Linked DNA regions of Callithrix jacchus. The protein of the gene in region 2 purifies or fractionates together with the protein of the main gene of each other region. This does not show direct contact. Links are inferred from orthologs where the notes say so. Each region holds a gene or a part of one and is shown on either strand. Other genes may lie near its edges.

Region 1 (4,860 bases), on a different chromosome or scaffold from region 2:
CACCTGTCTCTGAGCTGCTCAAGGCACAGGGCACAGAGGGCGCCTTATATGTGTCTGTGACTGCAGCCTGGTTTGCACAGCTTCAGGAACCACGCCTGCCCCGGTGACGTTTGTTGAATGTCAAATGGATGTCCCGGTAAAGTGCTGGCCAGGCCTCATCACCTGTTGGTGGCTGCTCCGAGAGGAGAGCACAGGTCTCCTGCCTCTCAGCCAGCTCATCTGTCCATCTGACGAACGTTTGGGCTGGTGCCAGGCACTAGAGCAGGGCCTGGGATGGGTCACGGTCATCCCCACCCAACGGTCTCTTTCCAGAACAAATGTGTCCCATACTGGCCCGAGGTGGGCACTCAGCGCGTTTATGGGCCCTACTCTGTGACCAACTGCAGGGAGCACGACACGCCCGAATACAAACTCCGCAGCTTGCAGGTCTCCCCACTGGACAATGTGAGCATCCCCCACTCCCTGCCCTGCTGTGGGAGTCCCCCACTGGACCTGTTCTCCTGTCTGGTTGAGTGGTTGGGTGGGGTGAGGCAGGTGGGGTGTTCCGAGGGAGCAGGGGGAATTGACCCTATGTCCTTGGTCAGGGGGACCTGGTTCGGGAGATCTGGCACTACCAGTACCTGAGCTGGCCTGACCATGGGGTCCCCAGTGAGCCCGGGGGCGTCCTCAGCTTCCTGGACCAGATCAACCAGCGGCAGGAAAGTCTGCCTCGCGCAGGCCCCATCATCGTGCACTGCAGGTGAGAATGAGAGTCCTCATGGTAGCAGTGACTGCTGAGGAGTAAATATTGCTAAGCGCCATGAGCTGTTATAAGCAACATACATGTTAGTGCACACGTCTATTGCCTTCCGCTCACCCCCGGCTTCTTCTGGGTTCCCTCATGGCTCCAGAGCCTGGGGTGGAACATGGCTGGACCTGGTCCCACTTTGGCCCCCTGCCTGTGGGTGTCTTCCTCAGAGCCTTCCCCAGATGTACCATCTCGCCCAACCCAAATACAGAGGAGGAACCCAGGACTCAGCTGCTGGCCAGGCCCCAGCTAGTCAGGGCGAGGCCGGGCTGGCACCCACAGTAGGCCTGAGTCCCGGCTGCCCTGCTGTCTCTCAAGGTCCCACTCTGCTGGTTTCTTCTGGCCTCCCAGGAATATCCATCGTGCCTGTGCTCCCCATTCCTCCTCTTTTTCCATCTGTAGCCCCAGGGTTTAGGCTTCTTCCTGACTCCGCCGTCTCTCCCCCTTTCCCTGGCAGTTCCCCATCCTGGCCCCCAGGGTTGTATGGGGATGGGCGATGCCTTTCTGGGGGGTACACATAGCTCCTCTATCTACCCTCGTGTTTGTGATCAGGAGACCCCTGTAGGGTGCAGAGGTGGGGCTGCGAGGAGCAGGGGTCCCACTGAAGAGCCCACCATGCCGGCCTGGCCTAAATGGAAGAGAGGCAGCGGGTGGAGGGCCCCTCTGCTCACCAGCTGTGTGATCTTGGACAAATTGCTTAACTTTTCTGACCCTCAGCTTCCTCATCTGTAAAACCAGGATCTCAGGGTTGTCGTGAGACCCTATTGCTGTGGCTGGAATTCCATCAGCCCTCAAACACTGGCAGTTACTGGTTTAGTACTCATGCCAGACAGAGAATGGGGGAAACAGGGACCTGCCTTGCCCGGTCCCTTCACACTCCCTCTGTGGACCCCAGGTCTTTGATGGCCTCTGGCCTCCTCCTCTTCCCCCCAGCAGCTGTTTGTCCATGGGACAGGGCCAGTTGGCTGAATCTAGAGGTGCCCCGATGGGCTGTCTTGGGGCCGCAGCTCTGTCCTCTGCTCTCTCAGGGACAGGTCTATCCCTGAGAGCCACCCTCCTGCTCACCCACCGCACGTATAGTCACACACTTCTTGAAAGCCCCATGGCCTTTATTTAGACGTTACAGGAAGGAAGTGGGTGAAGGGGGGTTATTTTTGACAATCTGTGTTTGAAATTAGACAGTGCGACTCAGGGCACCAGCCTGATGGGCCCAGCTGAGGGTGGGCCTGGGGTCTCCCTAGGGTCTGCTTGCCCAGGGGTGGGAAGGAGAGAAACTTCCTATTGCACTGCTCCCCCGAGTCCCTGACCCGGCACCCCTGAACCCTGTTGTCTCTGGGCTGTCCTTTCCCAGCTGTCAGGGTTTGAAGAAAAAGGGAAATAAACCTCTGCAGAGAGAAGCTCCATGAATTTTTTTTTTTTTTGAGACAGTCTCACTCTTGTTGCCCAGGCTGGAGTGCAGTGGCGTGATCTCAGCTCACTGCAACCTCTGCCTCCCAGGTTCAAGTGATTCTCCTGCCTCAGCCTCCTGAGTAGCTGGGATTACAGGTGCACGCCACTACGCCCAGCTAAGTTTTGTATTTTCAGGAGAGACGGGGGTTTCACCATGTTGGTCAGGCTGGTATTTGAACTCCTGACCTCTTGATCTATCTGCCTCAGCCTCCCAAAGTGCTGGGATTACAGGTGTGAGCCACTGCACCCAGCTGGAGCTCCCTAACTCTTGGAGAGGTGGGAAGGGTTCAGGGTGCCTAGGAACCAGCAGGACAGTAGTGGGATTTGGGGGTCCCATGTCTTTCGGGGTGGGGACAGCTGCTCTCCAGGAGTGAGGATTCGGTGCAGGGAGTGGAGTAGGGAAGGATGGTGGCATCTGGGAAGCTGGCATCAGCACCACAGAGCCAGAAGTGGAGTGCTCCCATGCAGAGTCGGGCAAATTGTCATTGTCACTTGCCCAATGATGCTGGGTACATTCCCTTCTATTACTGGAGGCTCAGGCTGCTCCTGCAGTGCCTGGGGGTGGAGCTGAGCACTGGTCAACCCCCCTTCCCAGGAAGGGCTTGACTGGCCTCTGACGGCATCCCCGTCTCTCCTCAGCGCGGGCATTGGCCGCACAGGTACCATCATTGTCATCGACATGCTCATGGAGAACATCTCCACCAAGGGTGAGGGGCACCTGGGGGCTTGGGGGCGGGGTGAGCAACCCCTTGGTGTCTACCTGTGCCTAGGCCTGAGGTTTGACTGCCCCCACCCAGGCCTGGACTGTGACATTGACATCCAGAAGACTATCCAGATGGTGCGGGCGCAGCGCTCGGGCATGGTGCAGACGGAGGCGCAGTACAAGTTCATCTACGTGGCCATTGCCCAGTACATTGAAACCACCAAGAAGAAGCTGGAGGTCCTGCAGGTGCGTGCAGAGCAGGGCCTAGGGGGCTGCAGCGGGGGATGGGTGCCACCTGGCCCTGCTGGGACCACCACCCTCCTGCTATCCCTCTGCCCACAGTCGCAGAAGGGCCAGGAGTCGGAGTATGGGAACATCACCTACCCCCCAGCCATGAAGAACGCCCATGCCAAGGCCTCCCGCACCTCATCCAAGTGAGTGGCCCTGACTGCCACCTCCCGGCATCCACCCCTTTGTCCTGACCAGCCCGATCCTTGATTTCTGGAGAGGACAAGTGTTGCTTCAAGTTCAAGCTTGGTTCTCACGCCTTCTGTTAATAAGCATTTCCAGAGTGCCCCCCCACCGCCGCCACGTGTGGGCCTGTGCTAGGTAGCAGCAGTGCACTTGTGTATGAGATGTTGCCTCTAACCTCAAAGAACTTGGAGTTTAGTGCAGGGACAGTGGCTGGGCCACCTGTGAGATGGGGCAGCCAGAGAGGGTTGCCACTGCTGGGTCCCCCGTGCTGTCTCCTGACCTGTGCCTCCGGCCTGTGTTTGCCCCCTGCACCCTGCTGCAGACACAAGGAGGATGTGTATGAGAACCTGCACAGTAAGAACAAGCGGGAGGAGAAAGTGAAGAAGCAGCGGTCAGCAGACAAGGAGAAGAGCAAGGGTTCCCTCAAGAGGAAGTGAGCGGGCGCTGTGCTCAGGTGGCGGTGCTACAACTCTTCTGCCTGGCTGTCCTCCCTGTCCTGCCCTGTGTCCTTGGCTCCACTGCCTTCCCTGGGTGGATGGGGTGGTTGCAGCCTCACTCTGCCCTTCCCAGCTGCCCCAGACCTCCTTGTTCGCCCTCCAGGTTCCAGCCACCCTCTCACTCCCTAACTCCTTCTCTTGGCAGCCTCAGCCCAGACCCTGCGGAAGCCTCCCACAGTGGACAGACCCACAACCTGAACCTAGGAGTGCCCCATTCTATTGTAATTTAAATGGCTCCATCCCTCATACCTCTCCCTGATCCTGTATATAGCCCAGCCAGGCCCCAGTCAGGGCCAGCCCTTCTCCTCTTGTAAATAAAGGCCTGGGATTACTGTGTGTCGCCTCTAACTGAGCACTTTGCTTGCCCAGTGAGTGGGCTCCGCCTCCCGTCAGACCGCTGTGGGTCTGGACTCCGCCTCACACGTGGGAGGGTGACTGTGGGCGAAGCTCCCCAGTCTCCTCCTTTAAAATGGAGAGCGATCATAACAGGGCGGTTGTGAAAAGCACACGATGACGGCTGGTGATAAGACGGGCACAGTGACTCACCACACGCTTGCCCTGTGCCCAGGCACTGAGAGGCTACACATGTTACATCAGTCTAGGCACTTTTGTTATTCTCATTTTACAGTGCAGGAAACTGAGGCACAGAGAGACTAAGTAACTTGGTCACTTGCCCAAGGTCACAGGACTATGGAGCAGTGGAGCTGGGATTTGAACCCAGGCCTTCTGAGCCCAGAGCCCAGACTCCTTACCCTGGAGTTGCAGCTGCCGCCCTTGGGGCAGTTAGAGTCACACTCCCCTGATGCTGACTTCCAGATCCGAACTAAGAAGAGTAGTTAACCCGAGGCCAGCCCCACTCATCCCCTCAGGCAGGAACGGGGACTGGGGACTGGCTCTTAGTGCACCCGGGAGCACCCAGCTTCTCCCCTCACCCAGGCTGCGGCTGCCCG
Region 2 (5,610 bases):
TTGTTTACTGGAGAAATTTATGTCAGATATTATTTAATGGAGACTCAATTTGTTATATACCAAATGATGAAGCAGGATGAATGAAGAGTTATCTAGACACTATTGTGTGCAGATATTTGACAAATGTATGATGACAAGTACTAATACTTGAGTACCAGGCATCAAGGGTTTGTTGGATGCATACTACACAGTGATATGGACAAGCATGTGGCTGGACCTAAAGTTTAATTTTCTCTGTACATTCCACTCATGTTGTCTGGAAATATTATGTCTTTGGGCCATATTTAACTGTGAAAAGCAGATTTTTACATGAAGGAAAATGTTAATCCATATCATGAGCCTCCAAAAAAAAAATTGCTTCTGCCCACACTGCACCAAATGGCAGCAAATGGAAAAGAAGTTTCTTCTGCACTGGTTCATAGAACATGTGTTCTCCCTTTTGTTTTATAGGAAGATGCCCATGATTATTATTTTGTAGATGTCATTGACACTGTGCAAATCAGCATACTAGCTGCCAGGGGAAAATTCCAGAGTCATATTTTTTTAAATTCACAATATGTTACACATGGCAAATTCCCCTTTTCACAGCTGTAAAGCCAGACAGTATGTGTGTGTGGTGAGGACAGGAGGCTATGAATAGGGAGCATTTCAAGGGCTGCCTTGAAATCAGGTCAGTGGTATCTCTTCTCAAGCCTCACTTATACACAAAGGTTCACTGTAAGAATTAAATAAAGGGGGGAAGAAACATGAAAGGTGGCTCACCAGTCAAGACAGGTTTTCAAGAAAACAAACTTGAGAGGAGCTTCTGGCCGAGTTAGGTCAGAGGCACACTCTCTTACAGACTAAGAGTTTTTAAGGATTTAGGGTGGGAGAGTTTGTCAGAGGTTTGGACTGCTTCTGTATCTCTTTGTTGTGCTTATCTAGGAAGGAGAGTTGCGTGTCTTCCCATACATCTTTCTGGAGCTACAGGCCTACACCCCGAGCTTCCCTATCTTAGTGCACCTGAAGGGAAAGGAATGTGCTTATTAAGGCCCACCGTTTTACTAGAGCCCATTGTATGAGGGTTAAGTTTGGCAGTTACCCAAGAGACTTTCCCCCCAGCTCTCTCTGTGCCCTAGCTGTCTTACCCGTGTTTTACTGTCTGCTCTTTCTGGCTGCTTGTAGTTAGAAGAGAAGTGATTTCCTTGAAATGCATTAGGCTAGAAAGGGAGCTGGAACTTAAAGTGGTGGTGTTTGTCCAAGATGATGGTGCTTCTGATCTGTCACTCACTATATCTTTAGCGAATGAATAAATAAATAAATGGCTGCCTCACTATATCTTTAGCGAATGAATAAATAAATAAATGGCTGCCACCTTCAGTTTACCTAGGACTCTTCTTCATTGCCTGCCCCAGACACTCCCATGGACCCTATAGAATCCTACATCCTGCTGGACCGATCACCTCATGGATCTAGGTGAGGCTGTGACTTAAGCCAGACTGCAGTGACCAGCCCTGGTGTAAACAGTTGTGCACAGAGAAGCACCTCAGAGTGGAAGGACTTCAGACATGGGCATCCCATGCCTCAGATGTCACCAGAGGTACTGGTCTAGGCTCTGGTGCTCCTAGGAGGCAAGAACCAGATTCTGCTCCATTTCCTCTCCTCTCTGGGTGGGTCTCTGGCATCTGTGGCCCATGAGTGATCTGTCCAATCTGTGTGGAGGAAATGAGCTCTGAGTACGTGTGGGTCTGAGTTTCCTCTTCTGTGCAGGGTTGAGGTTTCCTGCTCCTCCCCAGCTTCCCATTTGGCCCTGCAGCCCTTCCTCTTCCTCTTCTCTTCTCACACAGGGAGCCCAGGAAGCCTCCACCTCAGAGATGCCATCGCTGCTGCTGCTGCCCCTGCTGTGGGCAGGTGAGTGGCTGCGGGGAGAGGGGTTGTGGGGCTGGGCCAAGCTGATCCTCATTTCCCCACAGGGGCCCTGGCTAAGGATTCAGGATTCTGGCTGAAAGTGCAAGATTCAGTGACAGTGCAGGAGGGTTTGTGCGTCCTCGTGCCCTGCACTTTCTCCCTCCCACCCCACTACCTCAGGAATAACCCAGTTCATGGTTACTGGTTCCGGAAAGGAGCCACTGTATCCCTGGACTCTCCAGTGGCCACAAACAACCCAGATCGAGAAGTACAGGAGGAGACCCAGGGCCGATTCCGCCTTCTCGGGGATCCCAGGAAGAACAACTGCTCCCTACGCATTGTAGATGCCAGGAGGAGGGACAATGGTTCATACTTCTTTCGGATAGAGATGGGAAGTACCAAATACAGTTACACATCCACCCAGCTCTCTGTGCATATGACAGGTGAGGCACGGGCTCCAGAAGCAGCCACAAGGGGAGTTGAAGGGTACTGCAGGGCAGGGCTGGGATGGAACCCTGGTACTGGGAGGGGTTTAGGAATAAAGCCTGTCATGCTTACAGGGGGAACCTGACCAGAGCTTGATCTTCTCTCAGGGCCTCACCTGGACCCTCCCTCCTGATCGTGCATCCCCTGCTTTCTCCTCACCAGACTTGGCCCACAGACCCAATATCCTCATCCCTGGAGCTCTAGACCCTGGCCACTCCAAAAACCTGACTTGCTCTGTGCCCTGGGCCTGTGACCAGGGAACACCCCCCATCTTCTCCTGGATGTCAGCTGCCCCCACCTCCCTGGGCCCCAGGACTACCCACTCCTCGGTGCTCATCATCACCCCACGGCCCCAGGACCATGGCACCAACCTCATTTGTCAGGTGAAGTTCCCTGGAGCTGCTGTGACCACAGAGAGAACCATCCAGTTGAATGTCACCTGTAAGTGCTGGGCCGGGATGCTGGAGTCTCTGAGGGTGCAGGGGAGACAGGATGGGCTGGGGCTGGGGACATTTAGTGTCCTGGAAGCCTGGCCAAGTTTGGGAGCTAGAAGGATATAAGCCCTGTCCCTTCTGCATTTCTGTGGCTTCTGGCAGGAGTAAGGGGATATGTCTACCCTTATTTCATCCCCTACCCCCAAATAAAGGAAATCCTCTCTTCCTCTCCTAGATGCTCCACAGAACCCAACCACTGGTATCTTTCTAGGAGATGGCCGGGGTAAGAAGGAGCCTCCCTGCCCGGGGCTGTTACTGGCATTGAGTGTGTATCAGGTTTGGTCAGATCAGACTTTCTGAGTCAAATGTTCAGAGGCAAGGCCTGTAGTTAGACACAGGTAGACATCAGGCACCTTGGATAAGGATATTTGGAAATGACTAGCAACTTCCTTCTTCCCCATCCAAATAATGCTCTTTATCTCCCTCCTGTCACTGAATGTCTTGGGGTATTTTACTTTATTTTCAGTTGATATATATAATAATAGTACATATTTATGGATTGCATAATGATGTTTCAATACTAATAACGTATAGTAACCAGATCAGGGTAATGGCATATCCCTCATCTTGAACATTTATCATTTCATTATATTGGAAACATTCAATTTCCTCTTTCTAGCTATTTGAAACTATGTATTATTGTTAACCATAGTCATCCTGCAGTGGTATAGAACACCAGAACTTATTCTTCCTTTCCAGGTGTAATTTTGTATCCTTTAACAAATCTCTTTCCCTATCATTGTTCCCCTAACCTTCCCAGTCATTATTCTCTGTTCTACTTTTTACTCCTATGAAATCAACTTCTTTCGATTCTGCTTATGAGTGAGAACTTGTAGTATTTCACTTTCTGTTCCTGGCTTATTCCATTTAACAAAATGTCCTCTAGCTCAAACCAAGTTATAGTGAATAACAAGATTTCTTTATTTTTTAGGGTGGAATGATAATCCACTATGTATATGCCACATTTTCTTTATTCATTCATCTGTTGTTGGACACCTAGGTTGATTTCATATCTTCCTATTGTGGCTAGTGCTGCGATAAACATGGAGGTACAGACATTTCTTCAATATACTGATTTCCTTTTCTTTGTATAAATGCCCAGTAGTAGAATTGCTGGATCATATGGTAGCTCCATTTGTAGTTTTTTGAGAAACTTACATACTCTTCACCATATTGGTTATATTAGTTTACATTCAGGCCAAAAAGTATATAAGAGTTCCCACTTCTCTACATCCTCAACAGCATTTGTTAATTTTCATCTTTTTATCACAGTCCTCCCAACTGGGGTGATGTTACCTCATTGTGGTTTTTATTTGCATTTCCCTGTTGATTGGTGATGTTAAGAATTGTTTATATATTTGTTAGCCATCTGTATATCATCTCTTCAGGAATGTCTCAGATAATTTACCCAGTTTTTAATCAGATTGGGGTTTTCTGAGCCATCAAGATGTATGTGTTCCTCATATATTCTGGATATGAATCACCGGTCAGATGAACAGCTGGCAAATAGTTTCTCCTATTCTGTAGGTGCCTTTTCACTCTGTTGATTGTTTCCTTTATTGCATACAAGCTTTTTGGCTTGATATCATCTCGTTTATTTACTTTTGCTTTTGTTACTTGTGCTATTGAGGTCTTATTCATAAAATATTTTTCCACACCAATGTCCTAAAGCATTTCCTCTATGTTTTCTTCTAGTACTTTTATATTTTTGTGTCTTATATTCAGGTCTTTGATCCATTTTGAATTGATTTTTGTACAGGATGAGAGGTGTGAGTCTAGTGGCATTATTCTGCATATGGCACCAGTTTTCCCAGCATCATTTATTGAAGAGACTGCTCTTTCCTCAATGAGTGTTCTTCATGCCTTCATCAAAATTCAGTTTGCTGTAGATAGTGGGTTAATTTCCGTCTTCTCTATTCTGTATCATTGGTCTATGTATCTGCTTTTTGCCAATATCATGCTGTTTGGATTACTGCAGCTTTGTAGTATACTTTGAAATCTGGTAGTGTGATGCCTCCAGCTTTGTTCTTTTTGCTTATGATTGCTTTGACTATTCAGGCTATTTTTGGTTCCATGTGAATTTTAAGATTTTTTTTTCTAATTCTGTGAAGAATGACATTGGTATTTTGATAGAGCCTGGTTTGAATCTGTAGGTTTATTTAGGTAGTATAGTCATTTTAGCAATATTACTTCATCTGATCCACGAGTATGGAATGTCTTTCCAGTTGTTTGTATCTTCTTCAATTTATTTCCTCAGTGTTTTGTAGTTTTTCTTGCTGAGGTCGGTCACCTCCTTGGTTAAATTTATTCCTAGGTGTACTTCATTCTATTATACCTATGGTAAATGTGATTGCCTTTTTTATTTATTTTCAGCTAGTTCATTGTCTGTGTGTAGAAATGGAACTGATATTTGTGCAGTGATTTTGTATCCTGCAAATTTACGACATTCATTTGTCAGTTCTAGGAGGTTTTATTTGCTAGAGTCTTTAGGGTTTTTTGGTAGTTTGTTTGTTTTGCTTTGTTTTTCTAAGAGATGGAATTTTATCATGTTGGCCAGACTGGTCTTGAACTCCTGGCCTCAAGCCATCTACCCACCTTGGCCTCCCAAAGTTCTGGGATTACAGGCATGAGCCACTGCACCTGGCCAAGTCTTTAGGTTTTTGCACGTCATTTGCAGAGACAATTTAACTTCCTCCTTTCCAATTTGGATGGTTTTTATTCTTTTCTCTTGTCTAATTGCTGT

The links.
Region 1: the proteins of myeloid cell surface antigen CD33 (region 2) and PTPN6 purify together in Homo sapiens (co-immunoprecipitation; 4 studies listed by BioGRID and IntAct, with this or other methods). This does not show direct contact. The link is inferred for Callithrix jacchus from reciprocal best matches to the Homo sapiens genes CD33 and PTPN6.

Annotation. Positions count from the first base shown.
Region 1 is NC_133510.1:21,225,093-21,229,952, forward strand, and holds the end of PTPN6 (tyrosine-protein phosphatase non-receptor type 6), read left to right. Parts: intron 1-312; coding exon 313-444; intron 445-584; coding exon 585-739; intron 740-2,875; coding exon 2,876-2,943; intron 2,944-3,033; coding exon 3,034-3,185; intron 3,186-3,281; coding exon 3,282-3,373; intron 3,374-3,735; coding exon 3,736-3,846; coding exon of another isoform or gene 3,847-3,850; exon of another isoform or gene 3,851-3,867; intron 3,868-4,055; coding exon 4,056-4,140; 3' UTR 4,141-4,246; downstream 4,247-4,860. UniProt on the Homo sapiens protein: Tyrosine phosphatase enzyme that plays important roles in controlling immune signaling pathways and fundamental physiological processes such as hematopoiesis.
Region 2 is NC_133523.1:44,809,340-44,814,949, forward strand, and holds the start of myeloid cell surface antigen CD33, read left to right. Parts: upstream 1-1,807; 5' UTR 1,808-1,853; coding exon 1,854-1,890; intron 1,891-1,952; coding exon 1,953-2,330; intron 2,331-2,535; coding exon 2,536-2,814; intron 2,815-5,610. UniProt on the Homo sapiens protein: Sialic-acid-binding immunoglobulin-like lectin (Siglec) that plays a role in mediating cell-cell interactions and in maintaining immune cells in a resting state.